3 linked regions of the Oryza sativa Japonica Group genome follow. The protein of the gene in region 1 binds, or shares a complex with, the protein of each later gene. Links are inferred from orthologs where the notes say so. Each region holds a gene or a part of one and is shown on either strand. Other genes may lie near its edges. The genes, in order: actin-related protein 2/3 complex subunit 2A, actin-related protein 2 and actin-related protein 2/3 complex subunit 3.

Region 1 (10,985 bases):
CTATATTTTGGGATGGAGATGGAGAGAGTACACTTATTTTCCTATTGTTTAAAATTTAAACATTTGCCTAGTTGATCAGAAAGATATGCCTGCAATGACGATTTGTTCTCTAAATAAAGTGCACCAAATTTAGAATCATGACAATAACAGTTTGACATGTTCACTACCAAAATCAAACAGATCTCCACCGAAACATGTTGAGATCAATTGAAATTTGATATTCCCGTTTTAACTTACAACAGTGAGGTGCATACCCACAAACCCACTCATATCTTGGGTCAAAATATTCTACAAGCATGAGGGCTCGGGAATTGTCTAAATTTTAATCATAAACTCACTAAAGTTAAGGCCACTTTGTTCTGTAACAATGCTGGCCTGCAATTTTGTCAGGAGACCAGGAGAGCATCCGTCTTACATATTACCAGTATTGTGTATGATCTCATACAGTTGATCAGATCTATGGTATTATGATAAGATAAACTCAAAAAAAAAAAAGAGACATTTCCATATAAAGGAGTTATACAAAGCCATAATATAGTGTCATGGAATACAGGGTTCTTGAGAACAAAACAATGGACAAGATCGTCCACAAAAAGCGGCAAACCTTAAGAATATTGCGCTGCTGTCTCCGAGTAAACCAAGAAAAGTAGCTTAACATAGTCTCCAAAATCGCTTCCCCGTCAAGAAAGTACACCTGCAGCGTTTCATGGTTAGGTGCTAAAAAAAGTACTATACTGTGCACGCAGTATGTTACTTTAATGCAGTGTAAATTTAAGCCAGGTGCTACAAAATCGAAGTGACTTCAGAAAAGAAGAGCATAGAAAGCTAAAGCATTCTGTAACCAATTGATTTGTATATGTTGGGGTTTCAGAAGAATACAAGGAGGAGCTTAAGCAAATAGCAACAACAATAGGCCAAACGGCAGGTTTCTAGCAAATATCAGTACTTCAAGGGTTTCAGCTTTCAACTTTCAACTATCATATCATGCATGTTTTTACTTTTCTCAAATTATTTGCCAAATTCCTTTGCTGCAAAGAATAAGATAAAAAAAGAAGGAAATCCTACATGTAGGGCAATGTCATGAGGCACTGAGGCATGATGTGAGAATGTAAGATGAACAATAAAGAATGAAACTTCAATAGAGAACATACTGGTAAGCAATTGACTACAGCCAATGCTGCAGACACACGAAATAAACAACTTAAACCATCTTGCAAGATACGAGGAACATCTGCAATGAAAAGCAAGAGAGGCCATCGAGGTCGGTAAGAGGATAACTTAATAGAATGTGCTGCTGATAACAGATCACCCGCATAAACAAAAGTTCCCTGGCAAGGACCCAATCCAGGGTTATTATTTCCATCATGCAGCAATGATGAGTTCCTTTCTTTCTGTAAGCACTCCAAAGAATAAGGTCTGGCATAAGAGATCTCTATCCATGAAATCCCAGGGCCTAGAACAGGCACCAAACAGTACTCATCCTGTCAGAATCGATCAAAAAATGTATAAATAAGAGAAAGGTAATGCAAAAGGATAAGCGATACTATAATAAGGAACCAATCCTCCAGGATTATTCCTAAGGGCTCTAATTCAGTGTTATTTTACCTCCAAACATGCAAAGTTGCTTCTGCCATCTTCGGCCCCCCGCCATCCATTTCCACATTTTTTAAGCTTGACAACATCTTTTGCAATCAAACAATATTTGTCTTCAACTTCCTTCTTGCCAATACCTTTCTCACTCATTCTTTGAAAGGCTACCAGATCATCTGGGCAAGATAGCTTGTCATTTATCTGCCAAAGATTCTTGCTTGCATCCATCCATGAGTTGGGAACACAGTAACCCTTTCTAGAACCAGTGGCACGATAGCCTTCAGAGCCTTCAAGGAGATCACGGCTGCTTATTTGTACTACATTGTCCTGAGTAAGCATTTTCATCCATTCATCAGCTCTTGTTATGTTCAATCCATCCACAGAAAGGATAAAATTGTGAGCAGACAAGTATCCTGACAGAGGAGATGCTTCTGGGACTCCTGTAATCTGTTCTGACAGCCTTTTAGAACATGAAGGATCATGGAGATCTAAATAAGGACAAGTTCAAAGAAACAGACTTACCATAAGACCACCAGTCACAAAGAGAGGATACAGCACCACAGGTAGTAATAATGCCATGATGACACATACTCCACATAACTATTAGACATGAAATCATAAATAAACATCATTATGAATGAACGTGCTTACAAAAATATGATAAGAAGCTGCAGCAGTAATGCAGAACTGCCGAACTGGCATTTCTCAAATGTGCTCCTTTTTTTAATTCACAACTTCTGGTCTCTATAGGTTAGCATGCATGCCACAAATACTGAAAATAGATGGAAATGCGCTTTAAAATTAAAAGGAATAGAAATATATGGTCAAATAAAATCAAGATATTTTACTTCTTTTTTAAAAAAAAATAATCCATGCACGCCAGCGTTACTTACCATAACATTATGCCAAATCCCTGCACAATAAATCCGAAGCATAGAAAAAAGAGGTAAATTTTGCAGCTGGTCACAGTTCAGAGCAATTAATGCCCCAGGAAAAAGTGCAGCTACGAATACCGCAACATACTCAATCTGTATGCCCTCGCTGTTGCATATTTAGCAATGAATGTGTCAGCAATGTGCGAAAGGAATACTGTAAGCGGGTGAAAGTTAATATTGTAAGTCAACATATAAAGTATGCCTTCTGCAAATGAATGCAAACACATGCAGAACATCTCGTAGAAAATGTAGGTCAGCAAATAAGGACCTTGCAGCTGCAACAGCATGTCCAAATTCGTGAAAAGCAATAGAAAAAACTGTTGATGCTATGATTGCTGCGATGTCCATTATTGATATGCCAAAGCTGGAAGCCTGCAATAGATTAAGGGCATGCTGAATGGTTGATGTTAGAAGTTGAAAAATGAAGGGACAAATTGTAGTCACCAGTAGATTTTGTAGCCAGGTACTAAATGACCGACCACTGAAATAAACTGCACCAATTGAGTCCCACAATAGCATCTGAAACATGCAACAGACCACAGTACATAAACGTGCACATTTCAAGGCAAGTACAACATATGAAACTTTCCAAAATTTTAAAGAAAGGATGAAGACCACTACTATCCCAGTGATATCCTACACAGTTCATAAAAACAAATGTCGAGATTGATAGGGTGTGCTGGCTGTTCTAACGATTTAAGCAACAATGTCAACAGATTCATGATATAGGTAAGGTAATGAACATTTTTTAGTTGGCATACGTATTTCAGAGTATTGGTAATTATTCGACACTGAACTTACCACTGATATTCCAACTAAAGCAACAACAGAGAAATAAACCCCTGCAGAAAACCATGCTCTCATGTATCTGCCAAAAAGAAAGTTAACTAATTTACCATAACTTCAAATATCTTGGCATCAGCATAGTGAGCAGCAAGGAAACTATCAATATGGTTACCCCATCAGATTACACCTCCCCAAAGGGGCATGAGCTAAAACTTTCAGCAACAGCGAAGAAATTTAACTCCAAATGGTACAGATGGCTCCTAGAGTGCATTTTTTCTCATTCTTTTTAAAGAAAAGAAACCTTTGCATCTTATGTACAAAAATGAAATAAGGTGCTAACTTGGCTATATTCTTGTTTATAGTATGTAAAAGTCCATGGGTAATTATATAAATATATTCCTCTTTTCGCGGGGAAAAAGGGTACAATATGCACATCAAAGAAACACTGAGTAATTAAAGAAGATAAAAGGTCAAAAGTTAAGATAAAGCATACCTAGCATATCTCCATCCCAAATTAAATATGATGTCATTGAAGGAATATATTTTGCAGTCACAGTACCTAAATTTTGTATAAGCACAGTAAGTGAATATAATAATCATTGCCTCCACTAATACAAAATGACAGGAGTAAACTGCATTGAAATATACAAGAAATTGAAGAATAAATGAAAGATAAAATACGTGTCCAACATCTCATGCAGTACTATATAGAGTCGAATGCAATTTTTCCATGATAAGCTGATAAGCAGATTTAAAAGGAACAGAGAAACTTGTTGTCCTGAAAATTAAAACCATTCTGCGGATGGCTAGATGCAGGGGAGACAATTCAATTTATCAGGATTAGGGCTGAGGATGAATGGTGTATCCCAACAGCAGGTCTGAACCAGTGAACCCAACAGGATACATCACTGAAATTTGGTAAATCGATACAACACACAAATCGAATTTTCACCAACTGTTGAAAGTGTACTACTAGAAGAATGGAAACTACAACATTGCCAACCCATGTTAAATTTCCAAATCAAGCTTTATAATTTCGCCTAACGGTTGCCCGCATCCTACAAGCTCTAAATCAAGCTCTGCTCTACAAGAAACCAATGTAAAAGTACTGGGAAAATAATTACGAAGAACGCAAGCATAGGCTCGATTTAGCCGCGACTTAGGGTTTGGTGAGGGTAAGAAGCTAACTAGTACTACTAAAATCTGACTAGATCGAGCGGTTTTGAGTCAGAATCTCTCTACTTCACTGACCAGCAAGAGACGGAGTGCTCGGCGCGGCGGGCGGCGGCGCTCGAGGGCAGAACTGGCGGCGCACGGCCACGCCGCCTGCTGCGGCCGACGCCGCCGATCATTCCAGCGGCGACGGCGACGGCTTGGACACGGCAAGTTTTGGGGGGGGGGGGGGGGGGGATTAACTGCGCAGGGCGGAAATCTCAGCCGTCCGATTCAGATCGGAGGGTTCATATTAGCGATGGATTCCACTACGCCGACTGCTTTGGCTGATTGGCTCTCGCATTGTCACATTTAGCAAAGGAGCCCCTCCAATTTCACCAGATTTACATCTCCACCCTCCTCCTCCTCGTCTTCTTCCTTCCTCTTCCCATTCTGCTCGTCCGTCTCCGATTCGCAGCCACATCGACAGATCCAGCCGCGCCCCTGATCCAGTGGTAGCTCGAGCGAGGCTGCTATCACGGTGGAGGATTTTCGTCTGATTCGAGGAGGAATCGGTCGGGTCGAGCAGAGGAGCGGAAGAAGAAAGATTGGTCGGAAGGAGGAGAGAGGTGGGGATGATACTTCTCCAGTCGCCGTCCAGGTTCCTGCTCCAGATCCTGCAGGATCGCGTCCTCAGGTACGTCGCTGCGCGGCCGACCATCCCCTTTTCTTGATCCCGCTCGTCGCCCTTAGCTCATGCGGGTTTTGTGTGGTTTGCAGTGGCGACAAGGGCGTGGACATCGATTGCCACACGGTGGAATTCGACGATGTGCGGTATCATATCCAGGTAAGTAGTACCGTACTGCCGAATCTGGATATCCATTCTTGTGTGCCGCCTTAAGATTTAATGTTAAAATTGAGCTTGCTATCTATACATTGCTGCATGTGTAGAATGTGTTATGCTATGTTAAATATTTCGGTGCAGAGCTTCGTTCAGTTATTGGTATGTTGTATGCACGAAAATAATACCAGAAACACCTGAACTAAAGAACTGACCTGTTTTCTGGTGCTGAATTGCTCCACGATCTCATGCTATCCAAGTCATTGTTGCTACTGTGGTAATGAAATTGTTCTATAATAATTTGGTAAAATTGGCATCATATATTGGAGTGGATTGTATTTCACCTTCTAATCAAGATAATGAGGCTGCCCGCATATCTTTTGTATAAGCAGCCTTCCATAATATTGGTGATCATTTTCACTTATGAGCATATAATATTATACCTTGCTTGGAGGGTTCTGTATTTCACCTTTAATCAAGATAAACTCCTTAGAAGCTTAATTATCATATTTCCTTTTTCTTTTATGAATTTATTGAACTCTTGACATTACTTCATTATACATGTTTTGGGTGTTGGGATCAACTATTACCTGCTTCATATTTGATTTCCTAATGAATGCTGGTCTTTGGTTCCAGTTTTCTATGAGGAATCCAAAGGTAATGGTGCTATCAGTAGCATTGCCCCTCCCACCTCCTGAGGCCATGCTATATGATGGACTTCCACTTGGTGCTATCGAGGCAATAAAGGCAGCTTATGGACCAGTCGTTCAAATTCTTGATCCTCCAAAGGATGGCTTTGATCTCACAATGAAGATAAACTTGACAAAGCTTCCGCCAGATGAAGGTTCTAGAGTTCCCTTTCCAAGGTTACCATTGTCTTGTTGTGCTACATGATTGAATTAGATGATGGTTCTATGTACCTTGAGATGTCATCCATTGATAGAACTTTGGTGCAAGCTAATGGTTAGAAATGGATTCATCGTTTACAAATAGATGCTTTACGAAAATGTCAAATATGTTATGTATAGTGCATTTAATTATCATGGGCTTCTCAGACCATAAATTGGCTAATTGTAGAATCTTTTAGCTATATGGATTGATTTTGATGCCTTCTGTAAATGAAAGAGAAATGGAAGTCAGTAGGTTTTGGGCAGTCCATTGAACAAGTCCATTTCTTGTTGATAGAAGGAATTCTCATATTTCTGTTATACTGTCAGACTTCATATATTTGCTTGTAGATACTTGCACATATTCTTCCAAACATGGTAATGGATCAAATTACTGTTTGTGATTATTTATTTTGGTCAGGCCTATCAAAATCATGGAATCTCTATGTGTATCTTGTAACCATTATCCGGCTAACACTTTAATGTATTCCAGAGCAAAGGAATGCTGTCTTGACTCAAATTGCATCTGTGAGAGAGGTGGTGCTGGGTGCACCACTGAAACTTCTGCTGAAGCATCTAGCTTCAAAGACGGTGGCTCCTAATGTTGACAAGCTTGTTGCTCTTGTTCACCGTCCTAATGAATCCTTTTTCGTTGCTCCCCAGGTATAAATTTGAGAACTCCTATAAATGTATCTATCATACTTCAAAGCATAGTTTTCCTTTGGCAATGAACAGCTAGGTAGGTTCTTAGATATATCAATCTAGATTAATCTATTTAAGAGTTATGTATTTGACGTTTACTTTCAGTTCATACAGTCCATGAGATTAATTTCTTTTTCACAGGCAGACAAAGTTACAGTAGTATACCCTATGAGGTTCCAGGATTCCATTGATATAGTTTTAGCAACTTCCTTTCTGCAGGTATTTTGGACACTTCCTTCTTGTCTCTTTTATCTGCTTCAAGCAATTCATTTTCTAGTTTTTTTATGATCATTTATAGACATCTTCAACAAACCGATCTTTAGGCATTTAGCACTACTTTCATTAAGACTTGAACGGATATATGCCTTAACTTAATGGTTTTGTGAAAGTTTGTCTTGAGGCCATTTCTTGATGGCATAACCATATTATGAGAAGCAACTTATGGAAGGACACAATATGATGGGGCAGCTCTGCCTATTTTGTTTTAAACTTTTCTGGTTAAATCTAGGAATTTGTGGAAGCAAGGCGGACTAGCGCTCTTAACAACGCCCCTTCCTGCTTGTGGTCTCCAGTACCACCTCTTGAGTTAAAAGGAGTACCTTCTGATGCACTAAATGCAAATGCCGGTTTTGTTACTTTTGGTAATATGCATTTAAGCGTTTTCTTCTGTTTTTCTTTTCTATTGAAGACCCCTTTTTTGTCTCACTAACTCATCTTTATGCAGTTGTTTTCCCGCGGCATGTTGAGGGTAAAAAATTGGACAAAACAGTTTGGAGTTTGTTGACTTTTCATGCTTATGTAAGCTACCATGTGAAGGTAAGGTCCTTTTTTCTTATGTTGGCTGATCCATACTTCTCAATTAATCAAGTCCGTGCATCTGTCATCCATAATTGTGAATCAACCAATTGCATCCAATGCGCAGATTTTCCATCAATGGGTTAAATTTGGCTTAGTGAAGATGAAAATCCATTGTTTAATACTGAGCTCTACTGTTATGGACTATTTCCAAGAAGATAATATTCTTTTGGTTGCAAATGGCCCCAAGGAACACACTATTTGGATCTTTTGACCAGATTCCTGCCAAAATACCATCAAATTTTCCTAAGTCTATTCTGGGTGAATTTTTTTTCCAAAGATGAAAAATATCTGATTTGCCCAAGACAGCTGATATTGCTATTGCAGAAAGCCACCTTGGAACAAATTGGAACATTTTTCTTAAGCCACCTTCAGCATGGGATTTTAAGATTTTCATGATTCAGTAGTTGACACGGTACTTTATTGGGACATATTTTAACCTTGCCACAGTTCTCTTGTGCTCGCTTGTGAAACATTTCTCTTTGGCTTATATACATGATTTTTACTCTTCCATGACTTGTGGTTTTTAACTTCACAAGTTCTCAGTCCCTTCTGTTTCCTGTATGGCAGTGTTCTGAAGGATTCATGCACACCAGGATGAGACGTAGAGTTGAGACGCTGATCCAGGTAATACAAACATATCCGTACTAAATTGATTTCCTTCAATATATCCTATGGATTATTTGTTACCTTTATTCAGCACCTTTCGCTCTCAGCTTTGAGTGGTTGTGTAGCGGCAGATGCGGGTTTAGTATCATGAAACAAATAGACTACAAATCATTGCTGTTAATTTCAGTTTACTGGTTTTTCCTTGCTAAAAGGCTGAAAGCTGGTGATGCACCGAGACCACCTGAAATAAACTGATAGGCCATATCACTCCATGCCTTAAACTGAGTATATTTAGTGTGCTAGGAAATTGGTCATGACGGTTTTCGGGCTTTCAAAGAAACTAAATTACGATTGCTCGCATCTAATCGATAACTATTTGAGAGCTACTGCTATGATTCATGGAGGTATCATGGTATCATGTTGTGAAATAACATAGTGACTTGTCCCATGAAGAACAGCACTGCATAACTATTGTTTTGCTGATCGACCTTACGTGCAGGCTTTGGATCGTGCAAAATCTGATGCAGAGAAGTTGAAGAAGTTGGTGAATGGTGGATCTTTCAAAAGGCTGGTTTGTGCAAATACCTTGAATTCGTGCTTAAACCCATCTTTTCTTTCACTGATTAAGACTCTCCTCGCAGAGCTTGAATAATGACGGCAACTAGCGTCAGCGAAGATGCTGTCGGTGTGTCAGTAGAAGACCTTTTATATCCTGGGACCATAGAGCCGCAGCTGGTGAAACAGAATCAGCATCCGGCTGTTCATCGCTTGTTTCTTTTTTTCCGGGAGGATATTCTACCTTGCTGAATTGAGGGTGAGGAATAGATTAAACTGAATTGACCTTAGTGACTTGCGACACCATAACGGCGTATCACCTGAGGACGCTCATTTCTTGTTGGCCCTCCTACATCGATCCATCTTTCTACACTTCCTTCTATGTTTGTTGATTGATCCATCGGCCCAAGTCAGTCTAGGCTATTATGAGTTCGATTTTGTAAAATATTGTTTTCTATAGCCTGTCAGATGATTGTTATTTTCATTGTAGCTGTGCTGAAATGGAAACTCAAGAGCAGTTTTATTACATCATTATTGTTACAGGCTCACACACATGGTGCTCTTACAAACAGAAGAACACTCTAGGCGCACGTACAACAACAAAGTAGCAGCACCATTCTTTCTACCGCACGGTCTTCACGTGAACGATATCACGCGCCGGTCCCGGTGGCCCCGGCGTCGGCGCCGGCGCCGTGGCCGACCTGCTTGGCGTCGAAGGCGCGGTCGTCCACCTTGCGCGCGGCGGGCTCGTCGACCTTGTCCTGCACCTTGTCGATCTGGATGGCGCCCTGGTCCTCCCGCGAACGCAGGTCCGTGCGCGTGCGGTTCTCCCCGCCGCCCACCGACTCGTACGTCGTCGGCGTCGTCTCGCCCATCGGCTGCGCGCCCTGCGCCCCCGACATTGCTGCAAAAGGCTTGGCTCGGCTGCTGCTTCCTTCCTTTACGCTGAACTCTCGTAGTCTCGTGTGGCTGCTGAGGGTGACGCCTCGCCGGGAGAAGCGTATATATAGCCGGGCTGCGATGTCGCGCGGGAGGTGTGCTGCGTGCACGTGAGGAGGCGGCACGGCGGCGCGTGGCATGGGTCAGGAGGAACGTGGCGGGACACATCGGCGTCGGCCGCTGGACTCGTGTCGCGGCAGCGCAGCTCAGGCGACCGTGACGTACGATTTGGCCGGCGCCCAGTAGTCATGCAGCAGGATAAACATCACAACCCAAGGTCTGCACATCTGGGATAATGGCCGGCGTGCAGGATAAACCACCTGGCCTGGTTGTTATCCGGCGGGTGAGGGGTGAGAGCGCGTGCTGCCATTTGGGGCATACGACAATGAATAAAGCCACAATGGCACAATCCCAGCACGACAGCAAGTCGATAGGTATAGGCTGACGCGTTACAGTTTGGAAAAATCCTGTGAGTTCAGAAGATATCGTCCCCCTGCACGGCTGGCATGAGGGCTCTGCAAGGCTGAAAGATCATACGCTGCTGCTAGAAGCATTTACAGAAGCTTCACAGTTAAAACCTTACTTCAACCTCTTTACGACAACACAATTAAACTTCGAATTGTGCACCATGCTTCCTTCAGCCCAGATTCCAAGGTACGAATTATCAATCAAGAAATTATCAAACCATCCAAATGAGGAACATAGATAATTTTCCAGTCGGACGCTAACTGATAGGGATAAAACAACTATCAGCAATGACAGATTGTTCTATATATCCTTTATTTGGGAGGTCCCGTCTACGTGATATCAGCATCTATGGACTGCTTGGATCGACAACAATTTGTACCGATGCTGTAAATGTTCATTCAGTCCAGAATGAGAACTCGAATGGTAATGGTGATACAGCCAAAATGACTTTAAAAGAAGGGAAATGAAGCACTGAAGTTGGCAAGAGTATCTTGTAAAAAGCTCAGTTGGCTGCCAGTCTTGACCGGAGCTCCGCAGCAACCGCATCAATGAACTCTTCAGTGTTCAGGTAATGGCTTCTTGTGACGCTACAAGTCAAAAAGGAAAATAAATTAAACAGAATGAGTTCTTTTATCATAGCTACAAAACTTTGCAGAAAAACACAAC
Region 2 (10,720 bases), on another chromosome or scaffold:
CAAAAGGGAAATTTGAGCCTTCTTTGTTGTACTTGCTAATTCAATGCAAACACATATAAGCTGTAACAGATGGTTTCATATTTGAGCCTTTTTTGCTGTACAAGCTCATTGCCTGTAACAAATGCTCATTGTTGGAAAATAAGAGAGCAGATCAATCTAGAAGTCAGCTCCTCCTCTAGTTGCCAAGCTGCAAACGCATGTGAATGGAAAAAAACAACACAGTGGGTAAGTTAGGAGAAGGTGACTTTTTCTCTTTTTCTGAAGGTTGGAGCTCTGCCATTATATTAAGAAGTTGGTTTCAGACTACAATTCAAGGATATTACATGGAACAAAAAGCAACTGAGCTTTCACCATAAACTCCATTGCATAGCGAATATAGTTGGCCAGTTTATTTTTTGTTAAATTTCCTGCAGATAGAACCTTGTGGTGTACAAAAACCGATCCAAAGAACATCTGCCTGGGTTCATCTGGTGCCCAACATAGTTCTTTCGAAATTGTTACAGGTCATTGAATGATGACATGAGCACTGATTGCAGCTATCGATGCCTCAAAAAATCCTAAGCTATTATTAGAGGGGCATCAAGCATACAGAGTTATCTTGAAAGGAGAGGCTAAGTGGCTATGGAGAAGAGAAATTCCACTGACCGCTTCTTCATCGTCAATTTCCAGCCGCCGCTGGCCTTCGTGAGCCATTTTGCCGCTTCGCCCACAGTTGTCCAGCAAGAACTCAACTGCTGGGCGCTACCAGTCGTCGCACAACCATCTCAGTCGGAAGCGCTGGGTTGCTTCTAACTAAAATTACTAAAGAAAATCCGGTCATGAATTTCACAACTTGAAGTCCATGTGAAAGAGGCCAAATCAGTATGGTCTTTATATTTATTCTTTGCCTTCATAATACACTGGAGAGTTGAGCATGACGATATTAACTAAATGAGCCTTGATCATCTGGGCATGGTATGCTTATTATATAAGATAAAAAAAATGTTCTTTAATTACAACTATCTACATATCTCTATGTCTACTTGGGTAACACGCAGCATTCTAGCTGAACAATATCCTTCCAAGCTCAAACCATTTGTTCAGAAAGGACGAATGAAAATAATTTGTTCCTTAATATATCTATTTTCTCATGATCAAGAGCAACTTTAATATTTATGTTGAAATCGATTACCAGATAATAACCTGCAGCGCATCTAAAGGTAAAATGGGTTTCATAACGTCAAAAGATATCGGGTATGGAAATATTTCACCCAAACATTCTGATGAAATGAGGATCTACCTTTGTCATCCATATTGGCACAAAGAAAAATGTTACTGTATCAAGCATTTTACAGAAGTAAGCAATGGCCAAGAAGTAGATGCCTCACCTCTAGCTGCCCTCTACCTGCAACAGCATACAGCACGGTGGATCCACGGAAGTCGAGATACTCCGACACGTCGGAGCGACGCTCGATGAGCTCCCTCAGCATCTCCACGCTGCCGCCCCCCGCGGCGGCGTGGACTGCCCTACTCATCATTTCCAGCCAGAACACCGAGGAGCAGCCACCACCGCTCCTGCGCCTTCCCCGTTGGGACAATTCGTCGAGCACCTCGGCGACATGGCGTGGTCCAGCAGCAGCTTGAACACCTCGGCGTTCCCGCCCCTCGCGGCGGCGTAGAACATGTCCATCACGCCATGCTCGCCCTCGCCAAACACCAGCAAGGGATCCCTGTCCATAAGCTCCTGCACGAACGCCATGTCCCCCGCCGACGCCGCCGAGTAGAGCAGCCACCCACCGTAGCCCGCCCGGAGCAGCGTGTTCTCGGCGGCGGCGCTGTTCTTGCACTCACACTCCAGCAGAGCCGCGCAAGGGTTAAACTCGTCGGGAGCAGTGCAGATCGAGGGGGATCGGGGGCGGCGCCGCCGATGATGGGGACCGGCGATGCGGGCTGACCGGGGGCGGCACCGCCGATGATGGGGACCGGCGATACGGGCTGACCGGGGGCGGCGCGAATGCAGACCGGCGACGCGGAAGCGAGGGATCCGGGTGGAGGGGGCGGTGATTTGCCAGGGGGAGGGGAAGCGATCCGGTCTGGATCGGATCGGATCGGGAGGTGCTCGAGAGAGGCGCGCGGTCGCGCGAATGCGGAGGAGGCGCGGTGATTGCGGCAGAGAGGGGGGTGTGGGACGCGCGCTGATCTGGGACGTTGGATCCAAAATCTTCAGATGGGTTTCGACCGTTGGATATGTGATATGATGAATGAGTAAAACTATTTGTTCAACTATAGGGTAGATACATACCGAGCATCTCACAAGCTACTATTATTGATATGAACACGAAATTGTAATCACATGCGAAATACGTTGGTTTTTTTAAGTTACAGAAAATTGCTAATCGTTATTTTAGTATTTTGAAGTTAAATTAAAAAAAAATAAATTGAGAGTAGTTTTTATAGATCTCCAGGATTTGCCGGCCCATCCTTCGAAGATGCTCATAGGGGTAGGGTTTGCGTGCACGCATTCATAGGGGTGAGTGTGCATGCGTTGTGAGTGTCTGTGTTGTACCGTGTAATTCTTAAAAAAAAAATCGTGTTAAGAACTTAAGAGCAAAAAGTTTTGCAATCATATAAAGATGACATCATTCTAGACAATAAGGTTAAACTATTGAATTGTATCATATGTGAAATACGTTGGTTTTTTTAAGTTATAGAAAGTTGCTAATCGTTATTTTAGTATTCTGAAGTTAAATTAAAAATAAAATTGAGAGTAGGTCTTATAACCTGTAGCTAAATTTTATCGTGTTAAGAACTTAACAACAAAAGTTTCCCAATCGTAATAAGATAGCATCATTTTAGACAATAAGGTTAAATTATTGAATTGTGTGAACTATAGTTATAACTAATATAATTTGAAGACGTCTAGCAATATTTGAGAAGAAAAAGACGAATAAGTAAAATGCAGGCTTACATTAATATACTCGCTCAATCTTTACAAATACTTTTAATCACTATATCTACTACATATAAAATTATTACATTCTCCATTTATTGAATCAAATAATACTATTAGCAAATCAAACCAGCTCAGGCTTTGGTCGTTGGTAAAAAACGTTTTTTTACTAGTCTGGCTTCGGCTTCCTGACCAGCGGTAGCGCTAGCTTGGTGAGTATCTGTCCCTTCAATTGAGGACAAATTTAACTATTAGGTGGCAACCCTCTAAACGCCCGATTAGTGCCTCTCTCTCCCTCTTCATCTCACCATACTACCCCCTTCATGCTGGTCGTCTCAATCTTATAGCCACCTCGCTAGCCGTTGTAGATTGGTAGCCACCCTACCAATTGCCGGAAGCCTCCCTGTTACCATGCCTGCTCATTGTTGGAGGAGCTCTAGCACAAGGTAAGCGTTGAGGCCAAATAACTCGCCAGGCGATAAGAGGAAGTTTGGTGCAGGAGGAGTCCCCACTTAGAAGTGGAGGTATTTTTTTAATAACAATGGGTCTCCAAGGACAACAGTTGTGAAGAGAGACCTAGGCGGCAGAGGAACTAGAGGGCGTAGGGTTCCCCAGGTTAGGATGTGACGTCAAGCTCGTCGCCACCCAAGTTCCAAGATGCACACCTTGTCTTTGTCGAGCTCAAGCGGTCACCTCATCGTCAGGGTTGACGCCCTCCTTCATGTTAGAGCTAGTTTGACAACTAGCGGGTACAACGATAGGGACTTTGCTATGATTAAGGTGGCTGTTAGGCTTTAACAGCTAGCGAAGAAATGAAATATAAAGAAATTGCTAACCTTGCTATGCTAGCGGGCCATGTAGATAAAAGTATAACAAACCACCTTTATTGGATGATAATTTTGTGAAGACAAAATTAAAAGGAGGCATTTAGCTCCCTCTATCAAAATCCTCTTGCTTAAGATCGGAGAGACGTGGTCGCTGACACGTGGGCCCGATGGCAATGGGCTCCACGTGTCAGTGAGACAAATGACTACTCTCCCAACCCCGTCCCCGTCCCTCCCCTACTCTCTCGCCTTCTGTTCCTCCCCCTCTCCCTTCCAACTTCCCAAGCGCGCGCGGGGAGACGATCGGCGACGGCGACGGCGAGGCGGAATGGACAGCGGGAACGTGGTGGTGTGCGACAACGGCACCGGGGTAAGCCCGCCCTCCCCCCCTCCTCCCGCAGCCTGATCCCTGATCCAGCGTGGCGACCTCCCTCCCTCCCTCTCTACCTCCACGCTCCTGCCCCTAGATCTGCACCCCCTCCGTCCCGGTTCTTCTTCTTGGACGGTTTCTTGGATTTCTTCTGAAATTTCCTGAATATATACGATAGGATTGTTTCTCTCTCTTTGGTTGGGGAGTAATTAGCATCTGTGCTCTAGATTCATTTGTGCCGAATAAGTTTTGCTGCTTACTACTGAGCTGTAATTAATCTAGGATGAAATGATACGTGTGCACATTGCAAGAAATTGAAGGGGGAAATTGCTCTAGTATGGTGGAATTATTGTTCTCCACATAGGCAGGAAAAATTGCTGTAATACGATGAGATTATTGTTCTCTGTTGAATCTTTAGATAATGTCCTTCCAAATGCGGAACTGGAATAGATAATGTTCATTCATATAAACCACATTAGTTTGATATTTTGCGGTCCAAAAGAAATTATGCTGTTGTCTTTGGCTTAGTTTCTGTTAAGTATTTTCCACATCATTCCTGTGGCTTGATGTTCGATATGCTTAAAGCCTTAAACAACAGCAGAACATATCATATTCATAGGTGATCTTGTTAATTTCTAATTCGGTACCTAATGGCTAATGTTGCAGTATGTAAAGTGTGGCTTTGCGGGAGAGAACTTCCCTACATCTGTGTTCCCTTGTGTTGTTGGGCGACCATTGCTCCGTTATGAGGAGTCACTCCAGGAGCAGGAATTGACGGTCTGAAATCAATGTCTATCTTTGTGTTTCTGGCATTCCCTCATTCTGTCTCTCTCTCAGTACACCTTATAATTGTGATTGTGTTCCACGCAGGATATTGTGGTTGGAGCGGCTTGTGCTGACTTGAGGCATCAACTTGACGTATCATATCCTGTTACAAATGGGATTGTTCAAAGTTGGGATGATATGGGCCATATATGGGATCATGCATTTTACAGTGAGCTGAAAGTATGACTTTTCATATGATTTATATTACTTTAACATCAGACCCTTTTAAATTTATATGCTCATAATTCATCAACATTCTCCGTTATGTGTCTTGAAATCTCTTAGCTCTAGGTAAATCAATGTATTTCTATTTTGTTTCTTTAGGTTGATCCTTCTGAGTGTAAAATTCTACTGACAGATCCACCACTCAATCCTGTGAAAAATCGTGAAAAAATGGTAGGTTGTTTTCTCCCATCTGGCTGTTCTGTACTATGAAATTTGTTTTTTAAGATATCACTAACTAGCAAATTGAATCCTACGATAAATAGATTGAGACAATGTTTGAGAAATACAACTTTGCTGGGGTATTCATCCAGGTCCAAGCTGTTCTTTCGCTATATGCTCAAGGTACTCTCTCTCTCTCTCTCCCCTTCCCCCCCTCTCAGTATACAGACACATGTATGAGCTTGCACACCTACAAACACAAAATGTACTGGTTCTTTTCTTAACATGTATTATGTTTGTATCCTTTCCAGGTTTGCTGACTGGACTTGTCATAGACTCTGGTGATGGTGTCACTCATGTGGTATGATAATAATAGTCTTCCCTATATTGTACAATCTACAAAGATTTGAAATGCAGAGATTCCATTTCTGTTAATCTTGTGGTGCACTACAAAAATATCTATCTGATGCATGTTTATAATTTTCTACTGTGCTAATGGGTATTCCTCAACTCAACAACTAAGAGGATCTACCTTTTTTTGTTGATCCAGTGAAGATGTATGACCAAGACTATATGCATACCTTGTTTCCTTGTAGGCGGCTTAGTAGAAATCACAGCCATTGAACACCATAATCTATGATTTCTGGTCAAAATGTCGATCATGGAAATAAAATGATAATTTAAACTATACTCCATAGTCCATAGTTAGTATGGCATGCTAGTGCCCGTTTAGTTATTCTCGCACATAGCCAGTTAACATTGTAAGGTTATCACCAACGTGTGTAGTAAGTAGTAAGCACAAAAAGTTAAGCAATTGAATACTGACTATTGTCAATTTGCAATGTGAAAGAAAGTTTTATCTAGATTTACTTTTGCCCGTCATGTTTATTATGATCCAGGTGCCGGTAGTTGATGGATTCTCTTACCCACATATTACAAAAAGAATGAATGTAGCTGGAAGGCACATAACATCTTATCTTGTTGATCTACTCTCAAGAAGAGGGTAATACTCTTTATCATTTTTATATGTTTGTAGATAAAAGATGCTCTGAAAACACAGGCTTATGCAATTGTTTGCTTCAGTGTTTTTCTTATCAACTTAATTTCGTGCTTTAAAGGTATGCTATGAACAAATCTGCCGACTTTGAAACAGTCCGGGAAATAAAAGAGAAACTATGTTATTTAAGGTCAGTTGCTTTATTGTTCTTAATTGTTTTCGCTATAGCTTGCTGTCACATTTCATAGAATTGAAAAGGGAAAATATGTACAGCTATGATTACAAGCGTGAATACCAGCTAGGACTTGAAACCACTATCCTTGTCAAAAGCTACACTGTAAGTATGTTAACCTGCTTTGTTTCTATTTGGTCCCTTTTTGTATTATTGGCTGAACTTTTGTCATCAGCTTCCAGATGGAAGGGTAATCAAAGTGGGCACTGAACGGTTTCAAGCTCCTGAGGCTCTTTTTACTCCTGTAAGCTTGTACTCATACTATTCTTTCATAGCTTGCTGATATACATTAAGGCATGCATTTCTCTGTTAGGATCAGTACCAACATAACATTGATAAAACATTTGTTGAGCAGGAACTCATAGATGTTGAGGGTGATGGAATGGCAGATATGGCGTTCCGTTGCATTCAAGAAATGGACATCGACAACCGGATGACAGTATACAGCTTACCCATACAATATGCTATATTTTGTTGCTCCAATCTTTTCACTTGCTTTTGTTTATCTTCAAGTATTTATTTGTAACATTGTTGATGAATTGATGAGTTAGATATAGAACCTCTGTAGTCTTCAATTGAAATTTCGAAGGCACACTTTGAATTCAACTACACATGGCTTGTCTAGTGAATTTGTGCATAAGATAATCTTTGATAATTTAGGATTACTTTGTTTTGTTATTTGGTAGCAACTTGATAAGACCATGGTTTTGCATAAAAAATCCACTTACATATATACATGATTTTTATGTTGTTGTCTTAAATTAGAACTTGCACAGGTAAACACCATAAGTTGAATTACTGTCAAATGCTGAACACACTTCCAAATGTTGATAATTTTTCATATTTAGTACATGTGTATGTGTTAATGTAAATTAAGTCAAGAAGGGACAAATAAATGCCAGTTATGTTAGTCTCTATACTTGATTAATTGTATTTTAAGTTGTTATGAAGTACTTCTAGATAAGCATTGGATCATGTGTTCTTCTCTCATTGGATGTCTGGATAACATCTTGCAGCTTTATCAACATATTGTCCTGAGTGGGGGAAGTACCATGTATCCTGGTCTGCCAAGTCGGTAAGATTTGACAAACATATCCCGCTCTGTCTTCTTTTGTTTACTACAGTACATATTAACGATTAGTTTCAAACAACACTATTTTTACACTGAAGCTCACATCATTTTTGGTGGTCTATGCCACTCTGATTTTTTGCCTGTTCTATTTCTTACCAATGTATGTGTTTAGCTGTTTTTATAAGCTTCAATATTGGGTATGACTTAACACATTACAACATTTTTGAAGACTAGAGAAGGAAATGCTTGATCGCTATCTTGATGTGGTTCTGAAGGGAAACAAAGATGGACTGAAGGTAATATTTTTTTGTGGTTATTTTGTAGCTGACAACAGTTGAAAATTTCATAAGCTTATTGAAATCAAACACAAGGAAATTCCCAAGTTTTTTTTCCAGTGCAACACATTTTCTTATTCAATAATGGATGTTGTCTTTTCAGTAAGGAATGTGACCATTTTCACTTCTGTCTATGTGCAGAAATTGCGTTTGCGGATAGAGGATCCGCCACGGAGAAAACACATGGTTTACCTGGGTGGTGCAGTACTCGCTGGAATCATGAAGGTAATATACTTTTCCCACAGCGTTATATATCTATCGGTTATTATAAGCAAAGCCTTGGGACAAAGTAGAGAGGTGAACAGAAAAGGAGCACAAAAGATGAAATCATGCATTACTGTGTGTGCATTGTCGCATGGGAATCTGCTCATTTTGCTTTATTACTTTGCTGACGGCTGTTCACCTAGCAGGATTCACCTGAATTCTGGATTACAAGGCAGGAATACCAGGAAGAAGGCCTTGCGTGCCTAAGGAAGTGTGGACAAGCATAGCCGTCGAGTATGTTCCTATGATCCTACCTAGATTCTCATCAACAGCAGATGTGAAAGGCTCTCTCATTCTGTTTGCAGGAGACAAAAAGGAAACCTATGTTTAGATGATGGATGCACATTACTTGTAGAAAGATGAGCACATAGTGTTGTTTGTTGTCCCTATTGTTCAGGATACTTGTTGGTGCATGTTGTAGCCTAGAAGCCACTATGAACACAAACTCACCATATAACCATGATGAGCAAACATTAGATATATTTCATTTTCTATTGGTAATATACCTATGAACACAACACATATTTCTACTTACTATATTATGTACTGGTGAGCTGATGCTCTTCATTTGGTCCCTGTACTGCTAGGGCAAATCAATTTACTGATAGGGAAAGTCAATTTACAACGAAGCCCTTAACATTAGAATTGCTTTGAGATTTGTGCGGATGGCATATATTTCAATGGATCGCAATATTGTATTCTTCTTTTTAGTATATCGTGAATCTTAACAAAACATCTAATTGTTCAGCATAGCACTTATATTGTAAAAATCATCTTCTCTACTGTTGTATGAAACTTTTTGCTGCCTATATTTATCTTCATCCAAGAAATCTGTGAGTTTCTTAATCAGCTGCAAACTTTTAGCAAGTTCTGTGCTTTAACTCAGCCCATTTAGGAAAGGTCATGTTCCATTTTCCAAAATTGTACTCTTTGCTCAAATATATTTTCTGAAATTGTTTCTTTTCCGTGTTTGGTAGAATTTGAATTATTTTCCGCATTTTAACACAAGATGTTTGGCAGAATTTGAATTGTTCACCGCATTTAACACGAAGATATTGTGCTAAATCAATAGTTAAATGCCTTGCATACGATGTTGCTCTTGGTGAACAACAATCCATTGTCCAATGATGTGCAAGCGGGGAATTCTGAATTTATGAGACGCAACCAAGCCAGGGTAGTGGCTCCAATGATTCAAAAATGTAAGGATTGCGGAAACCAGAATTGAATAACCAAAGGAATCCCAAAATTACAGAGTTCTAGTCCAATCTGAAACGAACGGTACCATCAAATTCCTCTGAATATGCGTGCCAGGATACCTCTTTTGCCTTTCTTCTTTTTTTCTTTTCGATCTTTTGCCTTCCTTTTTTTTTTTGATAGGAAAAGCTTTTATTAACTTAACGGCCTGGCTAAATTGCCATCCACCATACTCTCCATGCCCGTAGGCGTGCCGTCCCAGGAAAGGCCAGCATTCAGAGAGCACTTACAACCCAACTCCGCAAGGGCATGCGCCACACGATTACAAGATCTAGGGCAATACAAAGAAGCAAAGGAAGCAGCAATCACTCTTTTAATCTCAACGATGACGCCTTCCTTCCTTGATGATAGGGTGGTGATGGCAGATTATTAGAGTCTTTTAAAATGGTATAGCTTATTGAGGACACATATAAATGAATTAAATATTACAAAGTTGATAAGTTTACTTATTAAGACAAGTTCTTAAAAAATACTAATGAAGTTTCTGCAAAAACCACACCCAAGCATATTCGTGGTATTTTGGTGGACATAATCAAAACTTGCTCCCTCCATGTTTTTTTTAAATAATAGTCGGTCTTGACTTCAAAAATTTTGATTCGGTTTTGATTTATAGTTGCTCTTTGAACAACTATGTTTTTAAATAATCTAATTATTTAGCAACAAAGTTGTATATATTCGAATAAAAAGCATTTTACTAATATCTTACATTTGTACCTGTTCATTTTGATGTTGCTTAAACCTATTTGTAATAAAAAAAACTTGATCTCGTAGGAAGAAACCAACACTACTTTCTGTGAAATCACATACTCGCTTCAAAAATTTTAATTCGGTTTTTATTTATAGTTGCTCTGCTTTGAACAGCAATATTTTTAAATAATCTAATTATTTACCAACAAAGTTGTATAATTAGATTCGAATCAAAAGCATTTTACTAATATCTTACATTTAAACATATTCATTTTGATGTTGCTTAAACCTATTTGTAATAAAAAAAAAACTTGGATCTTGTAGGAACAAACCTACACTAGTTTCTGTGAAATAAAGTACTGACAGTCAAGAGATATCGCTGTTCTACAAAGACAGACTCAAACCTGAACCCTATCAGATGCCCTGTGCTGGGACAATATAACAAGAGATATCGCTGTTCTACGAAGACAGACTCAAACTTAACCCTATCAGATGCCCTGTGCTGGGACAATATAAACAAAGTCTTGAGCATCATCATGCAAATGAA
Region 3 (10,952 bases), on another chromosome or scaffold:
GGTAAAGGCATTTTAAAAATGTCTTTATAGTATTAGGAAGGCATTTTAAAAATGCATGTAAAGGCGTTTTAAAAAGACACTCTTCAAAATGTCTCTATAACACTGTAAAGACATTTTAAAACTGTCTTTATAGTATTAGGAAGGCATTTTAAAAATGTCTCTATAGTATTAGTAAAATCTCTCTACAAGGTATATTTGTTGTAGTGCAAACACATCCTAATTAGAATATCATCACTCACTTCTTGAACAATCCTATCTTCCTATATAAAGCAAAGCATGAAAGAAGCCACATCATGGCATGTAAGAAGCCACATCATCAATAATTCTAATTCGTAGAGACAATTCACCAAATGGCACTTATGAGACACTCTTCAAAATGTCTCTATAACACTGTAAAGGCATTTTAAAAATGTCTCTATAGTATTAGGAAAATGTCTCAACAATGTATATTTGTTGTAGTGCAAACACATTCTAATTAGAATATCATCACTCACTTCTTAAACAATCATATCTTCCTATATAAAGCAAGTCATGCAAGAAACCACGTCATGGCATGCAAGAAGCCACATCATCAATAATTCTAAGCCGTTGGATCGCATTAGTACATAGTTATCAGCCGTTGGATCAAGAAGCTACTCATCTAGTCACCTTCTTTTAGATTATAAGTAGGCGTGACATTGTTATCCATTCTGTACATAATATTATGTTTTCTCCTCCCAAGCAATCCAAGATAATGCAAACTTATCTTCTTTATTTAATATGAAATTATTATATAAGATATGAATTTTGTTTTGTTATAAACAATTGGATAACATAGAGTAATTAGGCATTATTAATCCAAACTTATTTTTGAAATAAGCTTGAGATAAAGTAAAGATGTGCAAACTACTCTAATTATGACGGCATGTATATTGTGCATGAAAATAACTTACGTATATCATAACAATACACAATGACGTTTTAAAATAATAAAACATGAATTGTATTGTAATAGCAGAGGCTATATATGAAGCCACATTATCATTTATTTTGTTTATATACAGAGTTACATCTAATTATTTAAAACATTGATTTTATTTGATGATAAAACTAGCAAATCCCGTGGCAAGGCGCATGGTGCCAACTAGTATATATAGAGCATTATTATCATTGGATTCTCAACAAGTGTCGATCTCTAATTCATCTATAAAAAATTATATGATTATTTATAGCATTCTAGATTATGTTTAATAAAAATATCTTTCCACTTCTTAGAAAACTAGTTAGGTACCTTATATAATTACAATATTATTAACAAATATACTAATTATTATTTACTCATGTAAAAACATAGATAATATATATTACAGAGCACACACATATGAGTTAGCTACTAGTATTCATGTGCAAGTACTAGTGCTGATTGTAGCAATATTATTATAAAAAATAAATAAGAATGAGAAAGCGAGAAGAAGATGGAACAACAGAAGAATATAAGATTAAAACTTTAGTTTTACACCGTATTAAGACGAAGAACAATTTTGTTAATATTAGTATATTATTGATTAATGTGAGTATATACCATACCATGAATGTGAGTAACTTTTTCCCACGTGTGTTTGAGCTAATGACTAAACCTCCTTTTTTTTTCTTACCTTCTTTCGAAGTTCTCCTAATGTGTTCGGTAAAAAAATGTTTTGTTTTGAATAAAATAAAGAAACATTTTTTGACTAGATTATTTTTTAAGAGAATCCACTATGTGCCGCTTACTTTGTCCTTGTACTATAATATGGCACTGAGTTTGTTAAGTTATACAATATGCCATCGTATTTTGCTTAACCTCTATAATATACGTCACCGTCCATTTAGACTTCGTTAGTACTGTATAATTTTGTTCTAATGACCGAAATATCCCCGGGACAGAAATTCCAAAATTTGGCTGAATATTCTGAAATATCATATTATAAACAAGGCAGAGAAGATATTCATCTCAAACTTTGGAAGTTTTACAATCTGATATTTGGAATTTTTCGTCCCATGGCTATTTCGGTCATTATGATAAAATTATATAATACTAACAGATGCTAAGTAGACAACGATGGTATGTTATAGAAGTTAAACAAAGTGCGATGGCATATTAGAACTTGACAAACCTAGTGACATATTATAGAATAAGGACAAAATCAATAACACACGATGGATTCTCTATATATTTTAGGAAAAATTAGAACCATGCCATTATAATTTTGCAAAATCTGATATATGTCATCCTGACCCACATGTCATTGACTCATGTGGGTCCTACATGTCATTGAGATACCGATGGCATATCTCAAATTTTGAAAAATTATAATGGCATGGTTCCAAATTACCCTATATTTTATGGTTGTTTAGTTCATTACCTATCTACTATCGTGCAACATTTTTATAAAAAGTTAAATCTTATGCTATAAGTTCATATCATACACATTAAATTACATACACTTATAATATAATTTTCAAATTATACAATGCCATCTTCACATTTTATAGGAGAAATATGAAAAATGATTTATTATCTATTTAATTATGAGAAAAAGTATTAGTCCAAATTAATGTATATGTAGAAAAAAATAATATGAAAGAATTACGGAAATACCTACAATCGTATATCATGCAGTAAGAAAAGGAGACCACAATCGAATCCCTTATTGTTGAGCAAAATTGATGGCATTAATTTTATCTTTTTTTAGCTAAATCTATCTGACTATAATTAATCAGCCCGTGTTAGTAGAAGTCTGCATCTTCATGCATCAATATATCATAACTCATAACTCATAAGACTATTAGTAATAGCCAAGTACACTGACCCAACAATACTTAATATATCACAAGACTATCGGGTAATGGACAACTCATCTTTGATTGTATATCACAGGAGTATCGGATAACAGACAACTCATCTTTAATTGTGCTAAAGAAAAAAAAGTAAATTATAGTTCGTACTATGTATTCTTAAATGTTTTCATATTATGTCAGCCTTTAACCATTCTTTTCATTTACAGAACAACTAACTTTACATTTCAATTTGGACCAACCTATTTCATCCATCTCCAAGTCCAATGACTCTATAACCACACACTAACTCTCTCTTTCTCTCCATTTTATTTTCCCCCGATAGTTGGGGAACCGCTAGATCCAGCAAGAAGGAGCCTGGATCTAGCGTCTCCACTCTTCATCGGGTCGACTCCTGCCTCCGTGAGTCGCTACAATAGTATGCATGACAAGAGGGAGAGGAAAAAAAGATGGCTCATGGAGTGCAACTAGAGGGTGCAGTTGCGCATGCAAAGACAGAGAGGAGAAACGATGGTGGCTCATAAAGAAAGAGTGGTGGTGGCGGTGCGTGGAGTAATAGTTAGTGGTTACTGGTAGTATGAAGAGTTTGTTGTCGACTCAAATCGCTAACTGAGTTTGTTAATTTTTAGAATGTGGACCACTAGTCATTATAAAGAAATAGTCATTATAAAGAAATAGCTAGTCTTATAAAGTAGTAAAATATTGAGATATCATAAAGGTGAGAGTACTCGTCTAGAGCTTTTAACTTTTTACCATTTTTAAAATATGGTAATTAAGAATTTACTACTCACAATCTATAATACGTGGATCCTTATGTGTATATGACACGAGAATGCTCCTTCTCGGTCGCGCGAGGGGAGGGGAAAAAATCGGTCGCTCCACCCTTCCCCCATCACGTGCGCACCAGCAATCTCTTTGGGCCCCCACCACATGTCCCCTGTCCCCACCTGCCACTTGTCCACACACACAACTCTATTGCAACAAATCACCCACATATTTTGAAAACCCTATATTAAGGGAATTTGGTTTACTTTTTGTTCCACCAAAAAAGTTTCACGTAGTGTACTCATAATGTTTCACTATGTATAGATCTAATGTTGCAGTGAACTAAAATATTCCATTGCAACAAAAAAACCCACATATTTTGGAAACCCCCTATTAAGGGAATTTGATTTATTCTTTGTTCCACCGAAAAATGTTTCACCTAGTGTACTTATAATGTTTCACTATATATGGATCAAAAGTTGCAGTGAACTGAAACATTCTTTCACTATTTGCTGAAACATTGTTTTTATATAAGGTAAAACAACACCCAATTGAAACGAGTGAAATATTTTCGATCTACTTAGTAAAACAATTCCGATATACCTGGTGGAACATCGTGCAACATTTAAAAATAATTCAATAATAAGGTAAATTTTTTTTCGTCGAAATATATGCCTGTGTGGCCTTGTTTTGAAGATTTAATTGCAGCGAATTTAATGATGCAATCGGATTATGATATGGATAAGTAATTTAAGAGAAAAATCAGTTTAAAATAGTTTTTCACGTAAAGCGTCCGATTTTTCTCCAAACCGATCAGACGCACGATCCGTAGACTCGTCCGTCCGTATATACATGTGGGACCAGCGGTAAATTCTTAATAATTCCCAATAGTAAGAGTCTGAGCGTCTTCCCCTTCCCTTTGTGGCGTAAAAGAAAGAAAAGAAAATCTCCCGTCTCTTTGTCTCCTCCGCTCCTTGCGCCGCCGAGACGAGTCGCGGCTGAACAGGGGAGGGGCGGCGATCTCCATCGGGGCGAGCAGAGCAGGGGAGAGGATTCATGGTGAGCATCCGCATCCTCTTTCTGATTCATCTCTCTCTCTCCCATCGGGACTACTTTTGTCTGGAATTTGCTTGCGTTCGTTCGTTCGTTCGTTAACCCTAGCTTCTCTTCTAGATCTGGAAGAAGCTCTTCCCTTAATTTCAGAGCCTTAACCTTAATACAAGTAACAGTTTGTTTATTCCCCGAGAAGTTTGAACCCCCATGTCCCAAGTTGGATCCGCTCCTGTACATAATATTGGCAGCTTGTGGCACTCTTGAATGGAGGTCTTGGAAGATACTTTAGTACCTGTTCTATTAGATTGGTGTGTTATAGGCCCTGTGTGGAATACAAGAATTTTGCTCGGTTTTCACCTTTAATTTTCCTTGTATTTCCACCTTGTTTTGTTAGATCGCTGTTGCTCACTTGCTTGCAATGTACCGTTATCTGAACATCATATGCTTTTTTTCTACTTGTGGACAGGTTTATCACTCTAGCTTTGTTGATGACACCGGGATTACCAAAGCATGCGGCTGTCCTTTGCTTCCACTAAAAACTCATATAAGGGGCCCAGCGCCAGCATTCGATCAAGGTATACTGACACGGTGACAACATAAAATACATTGTGATATACTTCCGTGGTTTCACTCTGACAGAACCATGCCAAGCTGCTGATTTATGTCGTGCTATTACAGACAAGGCTGACATTGTTGATGAAGCAATTACATTCTTCCGAGCAAATGTCTTCTTCAAAAACTTCAATGTGAAAAGCCCAGCAGACAAGTTACTGATCTATCTGACATTTTACATCAATATTGCCCTGAAAAGGCTGGAAGGTTGCCGAACACTGGCTGTTGGGACAAAGGCAATCATTAATCTGGGTTTGGAGAAAGTTCCTGTGCCTGGGGAACCAGGGTTTCCCTTCCCTGGTCTTTTCACTCTACCCCAATCTCAGGAGGAAGCAGGTATATGACTTCATCCGCCACTACCACATTTGTGTGCTTGTATTCTCTTTTACTCCCTCCGGGTTGATAATACTTGTCGTTTTGGACAAGAGCACGCTTTCCAAAAAACAACTTTGGCCATTATTTTTAATTATAATATGTATAAAGGTGTTAACAAATATATGATTTTATTAAAGTACTTTTTAAGACTAATCTATACATGTAGTCACCATATTTTAAAAATGATTCATAATCAAAGATTCTAAAATTTGACCTCACCCTTGTCTAAAACGATAAGTATTATCAGTCCGAAGGGAGTAGTTTCTCAACTGTGTGAAATCATTGTTGCTTTTTATTCCTAGAGAAAAGCTTGCCTTATTTCTCGAATAGTTAGTTTTTCTTCTTTTCCCCCAATTGTTTATCCATGCTGCTTTTCTTCTATACCATACTATTTGTCCTGGCTAGGGAAAAAACAAAAGAATGAAGCCTATTGGAAATTTAGCTTTTGTGAGATTACAAGGGGACCTTTCCAAACTACAGCAATTTATGTCTTAGATACTTTTATTTTGGATTTAACTAAATCTGTAGTGAACTCCTTATTTGATGTCCTGTATATATGTTTTTTTTTTGTCAATTTCTATGGTCTAAACTATAAGTCTGCTCTGGGTATAGAAGCAATAAGTTGCTTACTGACTATTGACAACTGTTTTTAGGAACATCCAAGTTGTAATTGCATCAGTTTTTTTTTTACTTCTAGGGACTAAATAAAACAGTAACTTTCCATCTCTCATGGAATGTGATCTCAATTAAGCATTTCTCTGTTGGATTCAGAACTATTGAGGAATTATCTGAAGCAGATAAGGGAGGAAACAAGTGGAAGGTTGCTTAACTGCGCATACAGAGCTAATGGTACTCCAAACAAATGGTGGTTGGCTTTTGCAAAGAGGAAATTCATGAACATTGTCATTCTTTGAAGTATAGGTATTTTCCGCGACATGTTTGAGCAATTGAGCAGCTTGTAGGAATGGTAATTGCACTTGCGTACTTATTTCTGCGAATACTTTAGAGAATTAAAGGAACGACAATGATTCTACACCTCGATTGATGGAGCCAAAGGTTCTAATGAAACAATGGATAGAATGTCAACAATTTGTTTATTGCAATGGATGAACACAAGGACACCTTTCAGCTGTTATGTTGAATTTCTATTTTTCATTTTTATTGTACTCCGTCCGTGCCCTTAAATTGGGCATGTATTTTTCAGATGATGTTTGAATAGCGAATGTTCCGTGTAGGACATTTGTACAGATTTAATCAGGTGTAATGAGAATGTGAATATATATTTTCCTGATCCCTCTTTTTTGTATCATTCGTGTTAATCCTTTATCTGTTTTTTTTTCAATATGATTATAAGATATGGAGAAACCTGGACGTGCGCTTCCCTGATCTTGCCAAACGTTGGGAGTAAACTGCTGCTTATAAACACCTCAAGTGTGAATTGGCATGGTTAATTTCATTATTCGATGAAGCATTCTTTGATACAAGGTGCTTATAAACGATTTGAATGCAAAGCCCATTGCATCACTGAGACCTGAGGTGATATTCAAGCTCTATGGCTTGTCAGTCACCATGTCATTCGACACAAAGGATATCTAATGCCAGGTGTTCATACATAGATTCAGAAAAACAAAATATCATTCGACACAAAGGATATCTAATGCCAGGTATTCATACATAGGTTCAGAAAAGCATTATTGACCACCAACGCAACGCCCAACAGAACTGTTACATTGTGTAAATCCTCTTCGACAAAAAAAAAAGAAAAAAGAAAAAAAAAGGAGAGAGAGAGAGAGAGAGAGAGAGAGAGAGAGAGAGAGAGATCTCAACCTGATCACAGAGTTAAATCCCATGACATAAGGACATCAGAAGACTAAAATGTCGTTTTTAGCGTGTTTTTACCATCTAAAAGTTCCATCATCCTGGCATGAGCAAATCCAACGTGTTGCTTCAGCAATCTTCATCAGAGTATAATAAACTGGCTAATTCAACAACCATCTCCGGGTCTTCCTTTCTACATGTTTGCCCAGCATAGTAAATAATATGTTGGTGTTCAAAAACAGCTAGGTTTGGAAATTAGCCCAGTTACAAGCTTTCCAGATAGCATTGCACAAAGATTCTCACCAGTAAATAGCCAGTTAGTTATGGTTCTGCAAATAAGGCAGAAAAGGGGGCTTTACATGTGACACAAAAAACAGGTTCAGTCCATGCATTTCTTACCATATTACATATATGAAGATAGCTGGCTAAAAGTAAGACGAAGCATGATATGGTTGAAAGCATCAAATTACTTCCACAAACACTACACAGGATAAGAAGAGGAAACCTCTTTATTGTTTTTAAACCCAGACCAAATTTTGCAGCACACCTCAGATGAACATGTTTCCAAACCTCCCAGGCACCTTCTCAAATGTGTGGTCCTGAGATATTTAGTATTAGCATGAAATAGGTACCGTAATTTTTGTTGGGAATCCATGCTATAATTTTCTAAAGAATGATGATTATATAAGCTAATAAAAAGGAACTTGCTCAAAAACCAAGTAACTAACAAGAGATATTACCCATTGAATGGATGAGATAATCAATCAAAGTATCAAACTAACGATGTTGCAAAGAGCATGTATGATAAAATTGTCAGGCCATCACAGTTGGTATGTGTCACACAATCTCATTGGTTGAATTTGATTTGAAAAGTTAAATTTGTTTGAAATGGTAGGCTTGTAGAGATATGGCCAAAGATATCCACAGCTTTCAATGGAAGTTATCTTTAGTCCCCAGTCCTCTACAACACATCTATCTACCAAGGATTGTACAATGGAGATAACTGGCAATAAGAAGGGCTACCACTCAGCATACAGATATTAGTCTAAATCATTTGGACAAAATTCCGCTGCTAAAGCAAATTCATTGGTTCTAGCACAAGGCCAAGGCTATGGCATACAGCATGTGATGGAGTTCTGTCAGATGCTATCGCATACCTTCATGTTCAAGAGCCGAGCAAAGAAAACATATGTGCAAGGAATAAAACACCATAGTGATCTGTTAAGACTTTAAGAACAAAAAGGAAAAGAAGCCAGTGCCAGTAGGTTTGGGAATTAGCAATTTATGATTTTGAGTCACATGCAGTAAAGTACCCACATCCTAAGTGACTAAGACACTGGACGAAAATTAACTCAGAGTCTATGTATAGAAACAGTTGTTGACCACGCTACAACATGGGTATGATGCTATTTGTCTGATTTTCCAAATTTAAACTTGTCAGTTTCCTATGCTGCTATGAAGTGATTATTGAATCTCCAAATCCAAAGTTGGTCTTGTTTATAAGGATGTAGAAATAATTCCAGAGGTTTTTGAAGATCCATGGAAGAAATACCATGCGTGCATTCTACTATATGACCCAAAACGGCAGCTACATACTCAAAGACATTGGAAGATCAAAGCAGGGTTTATTCCAAATATCTTTGAAGATCAAAGCAGGGTTTATTCCAAATAGCAGTGCAGTTCACGTCTGCCAGGGATAGCCATAGCATTGCTGGCAGATCCTCCTAGAGCCATCAGCCTCCATGCCAGAGAACTCATGCTGTGATTCTCACAGAGCAATATAGTACATGCTACATAAGAAAAATATTCCATTTGTTATTTACCTTATGTCCACACTCTTCTTTGGCCACAATCTTTTCCTTGTTTTGTTTTCTAACTTACCAGGCATTTATACATAATTACCTATAGCAGAGTCATAGACACAGACAAGATATGCATATATACTTCTAAATCAGCAAGTGCTATTTAGACTTCATTTACCTTTCTAAAAAAATGAACCATATAAAAATAATGCTCACTATTATCATCTGATTAAAAAAGGTCTAGCTTTTTTCCACATATATTATTCCCTTTAGTTCTATTGGTAGTGCAAGTTTGTAAAAATAAATATCAATAACAACACAAAATGATAAGTTTTCAAATCGAGTCAATGTACATGCAACTAACTGGTGGACCACATGAATCATATTCTTTATCATGTGAAAATGTCCATGTATATTATGCTTTGCTATATGGAACATCCTTGTGGATATTCTTCCTCATTTCATGCCCTTTCAAAACTCTGGAGAAACCTGATACACAACTTATTCTTTGGAGAAGTACCAAAAGATGTGCGGATCAAGCAGCTCTTGGGCATCGAAAAGCCGCATAACACTTACGAGATCAAATCGTTAGTGCAACATTGACCGGAACATGCTTACCAACAAAGTCAAAGATTTCAGTTTGCACAACCACTGAACTTCTTTGTCTTAGTGTTCTCTCCTTCCAGAAGGTCTCGCATGGCTTTACAGTTCCTAAAGAAAAGTAGCATAACTGATTAATAAGCAGAACTGTCCATAAAACAACCAAATATAAGTTCATCACTGTAATTATGATCACAAACATCTTAAAATATGCTTCATAAGTATGTCTAGTAGTGTTTCAGTGAAGAATAACACTTTGTAGAAACATGACTCACTTTTCATCTTGGGCTCTTAGCTAATTCATTACTATCAGCATCCCTCTTCTGCCCATGATTGATTCATCAACCAGAACTGTTTTGACACGGCTCAGAGTGCTCCCTTTTCATCCAGTGCTAGTCACGTAGTGCCCCATATGAACCTGGCTCAGTTGGTATGCCAGTTTTAATTGGGATCACTATTAATATACAGAACCATAAAGGTTTTAAGTCATGTACACTTCACCCACCTGCATATGTTTGGAGCTAATTCTACTCTTGAAGGTGTAAGCATACATTTAAAGCAGATGGAGAAGGCAGTGCAAAGATTTTAAATTAACTTGCTGTATTCTGAACTGCTGGGTTACAATTTCCTATTGTACTTGTATGACAAAAATGGCACTTTAATTTGTACTCTGACTCATTTCAAATCTAAGGTTTGTTTTTCCAAACACATCCTAGGTGGCATAAACAAAATATAAAGTGGAAAACGTCCATAAAACGAATAAAACACACACACACACACACACACACACACAGAGAGAGAGAGAGAGAGAGAGAGAGAGAGATTTCTTAGATTTTGAATCATTGCTCATGGCCAAACCACATCAAAGATTGATTGTAAAGTTTGGACCTTCGGTGGTGGGGTGTGTGGGTGTGTGTGTGTGGGTGTGGGTGTGTGTTGGGGCTATGGGGGGATGTGGAAAAAATGAGCCAATTTTTAATACACCTAACAACGGTATGATGTTTTTACTACTGTTGAAAATACAAGTTATATTTATGTTCCATTTCATAACTAACAAGTTCTCTTTCATGTCACTGCTTGATAATATCATAATAACATTGTTTCAGATTTCGG

Evidence for each region.
Region 2: actin-related protein 2/3 complex subunit 2A (region 1) and actin-related protein 2 share a complex: the UniProt entries of both Arabidopsis thaliana proteins name them as parts of the arp2/3 complex. The link is inferred for Oryza sativa Japonica Group from reciprocal best matches to the Arabidopsis thaliana genes DIS2 and ARP2.
Region 3: actin-related protein 2/3 complex subunit 2A (region 1) and actin-related protein 2/3 complex subunit 3 share a complex: the UniProt entries of both Arabidopsis thaliana proteins name them as parts of the arp2/3 complex. The link is inferred for Oryza sativa Japonica Group from reciprocal best matches to the Arabidopsis thaliana genes DIS2 and ARPC3.

Annotation. Positions count from the first base shown.
Region 1 is NC_089035.1:27,104,780-27,115,764, forward strand, and holds actin-related protein 2/3 complex subunit 2A, read left to right. Parts: upstream 1-4,922; 5' UTR 4,923-5,098; coding exon 5,099-5,160; intron 5,161-5,243; coding exon 5,244-5,310; intron 5,311-5,940; coding exon 5,941-6,148; intron 6,149-6,684; coding exon 6,685-6,854; intron 6,855-7,034; coding exon 7,035-7,112; intron 7,113-7,401; coding exon 7,402-7,534; intron 7,535-7,617; coding exon 7,618-7,709; intron 7,710-8,318; coding exon 8,319-8,375; intron 8,376-8,856; coding exon 8,857-8,928; intron 8,929-8,998; coding exon 8,999-9,022; 3' UTR 9,023-9,438; downstream 9,439-10,985. Other genes in the region: membrane-bound transcription factor site-2 protease homolog, read right to left, coding at 518-694, 1,152-1,481, 1,606-2,037, 2,113-2,190, 2,484-2,631, 2,794-2,918, 2,970-3,044, 3,327-3,393 and 2 more; uncharacterized protein, read right to left, coding at 9,563-9,814; cytosolic isocitrate dehydrogenase [NADP], read right to left, coding at 10,822-10,906. UniProt on the Arabidopsis thaliana protein: Functions as actin-binding component of the Arp2/3 complex which is involved in regulation of actin polymerization and together with an activating nucleation-promoting factor (NPF) mediates the formation of branched actin networks.
Region 2 is NC_089042.1:17,331,700-17,342,419, reverse strand, and holds actin-related protein 2, read left to right. Parts: upstream 1-3,968; 5' UTR 3,969-4,081; coding exon 4,082-4,123; intron 4,124-4,789; coding exon 4,790-4,900; intron 4,901-4,993; coding exon 4,994-5,128; intron 5,129-5,272; coding exon 5,273-5,344; intron 5,345-5,436; coding exon 5,437-5,515; intron 5,516-5,643; coding exon 5,644-5,693; intron 5,694-6,231; coding exon 6,232-6,335; intron 6,336-6,450; coding exon 6,451-6,519; intron 6,520-6,602; coding exon 6,603-6,666; intron 6,667-6,736; coding exon 6,737-6,805; intron 6,806-6,916; coding exon 6,917-7,000; intron 7,001-7,577; coding exon 7,578-7,636; intron 7,637-7,862; coding exon 7,863-7,929; intron 7,930-8,109; coding exon 8,110-8,193; intron 8,194-8,378; coding exon 8,379-8,459; 3' UTR 8,460-8,874; downstream 8,875-10,720. UniProt on the Arabidopsis thaliana protein: Functions as ATP-binding component of the Arp2/3 complex which is involved in regulation of actin polymerization and together with an activating nucleation-promoting factor (NPF) mediates the formation of branched actin networks.
Region 3 is NC_089036.1:7,664,311-7,675,262, forward strand, and holds actin-related protein 2/3 complex subunit 3, read left to right. Parts: upstream 1-4,500; 5' UTR 4,501-4,635; coding exon 4,636-4,638; intron 4,639-5,098; coding exon 5,099-5,207; intron 5,208-5,310; coding exon 5,311-5,580; intron 5,581-6,316; coding exon of another isoform or gene 6,317-6,327; exon of another isoform or gene 6,328-6,390; coding exon 6,391-6,533; 3' UTR 6,534-6,925; downstream 6,926-10,952. UniProt on the Arabidopsis thaliana protein: Functions as a component of the Arp2/3 complex which is involved in regulation of actin polymerization and together with an activating nucleation-promoting factor (NPF) mediates the formation of branched actin networks.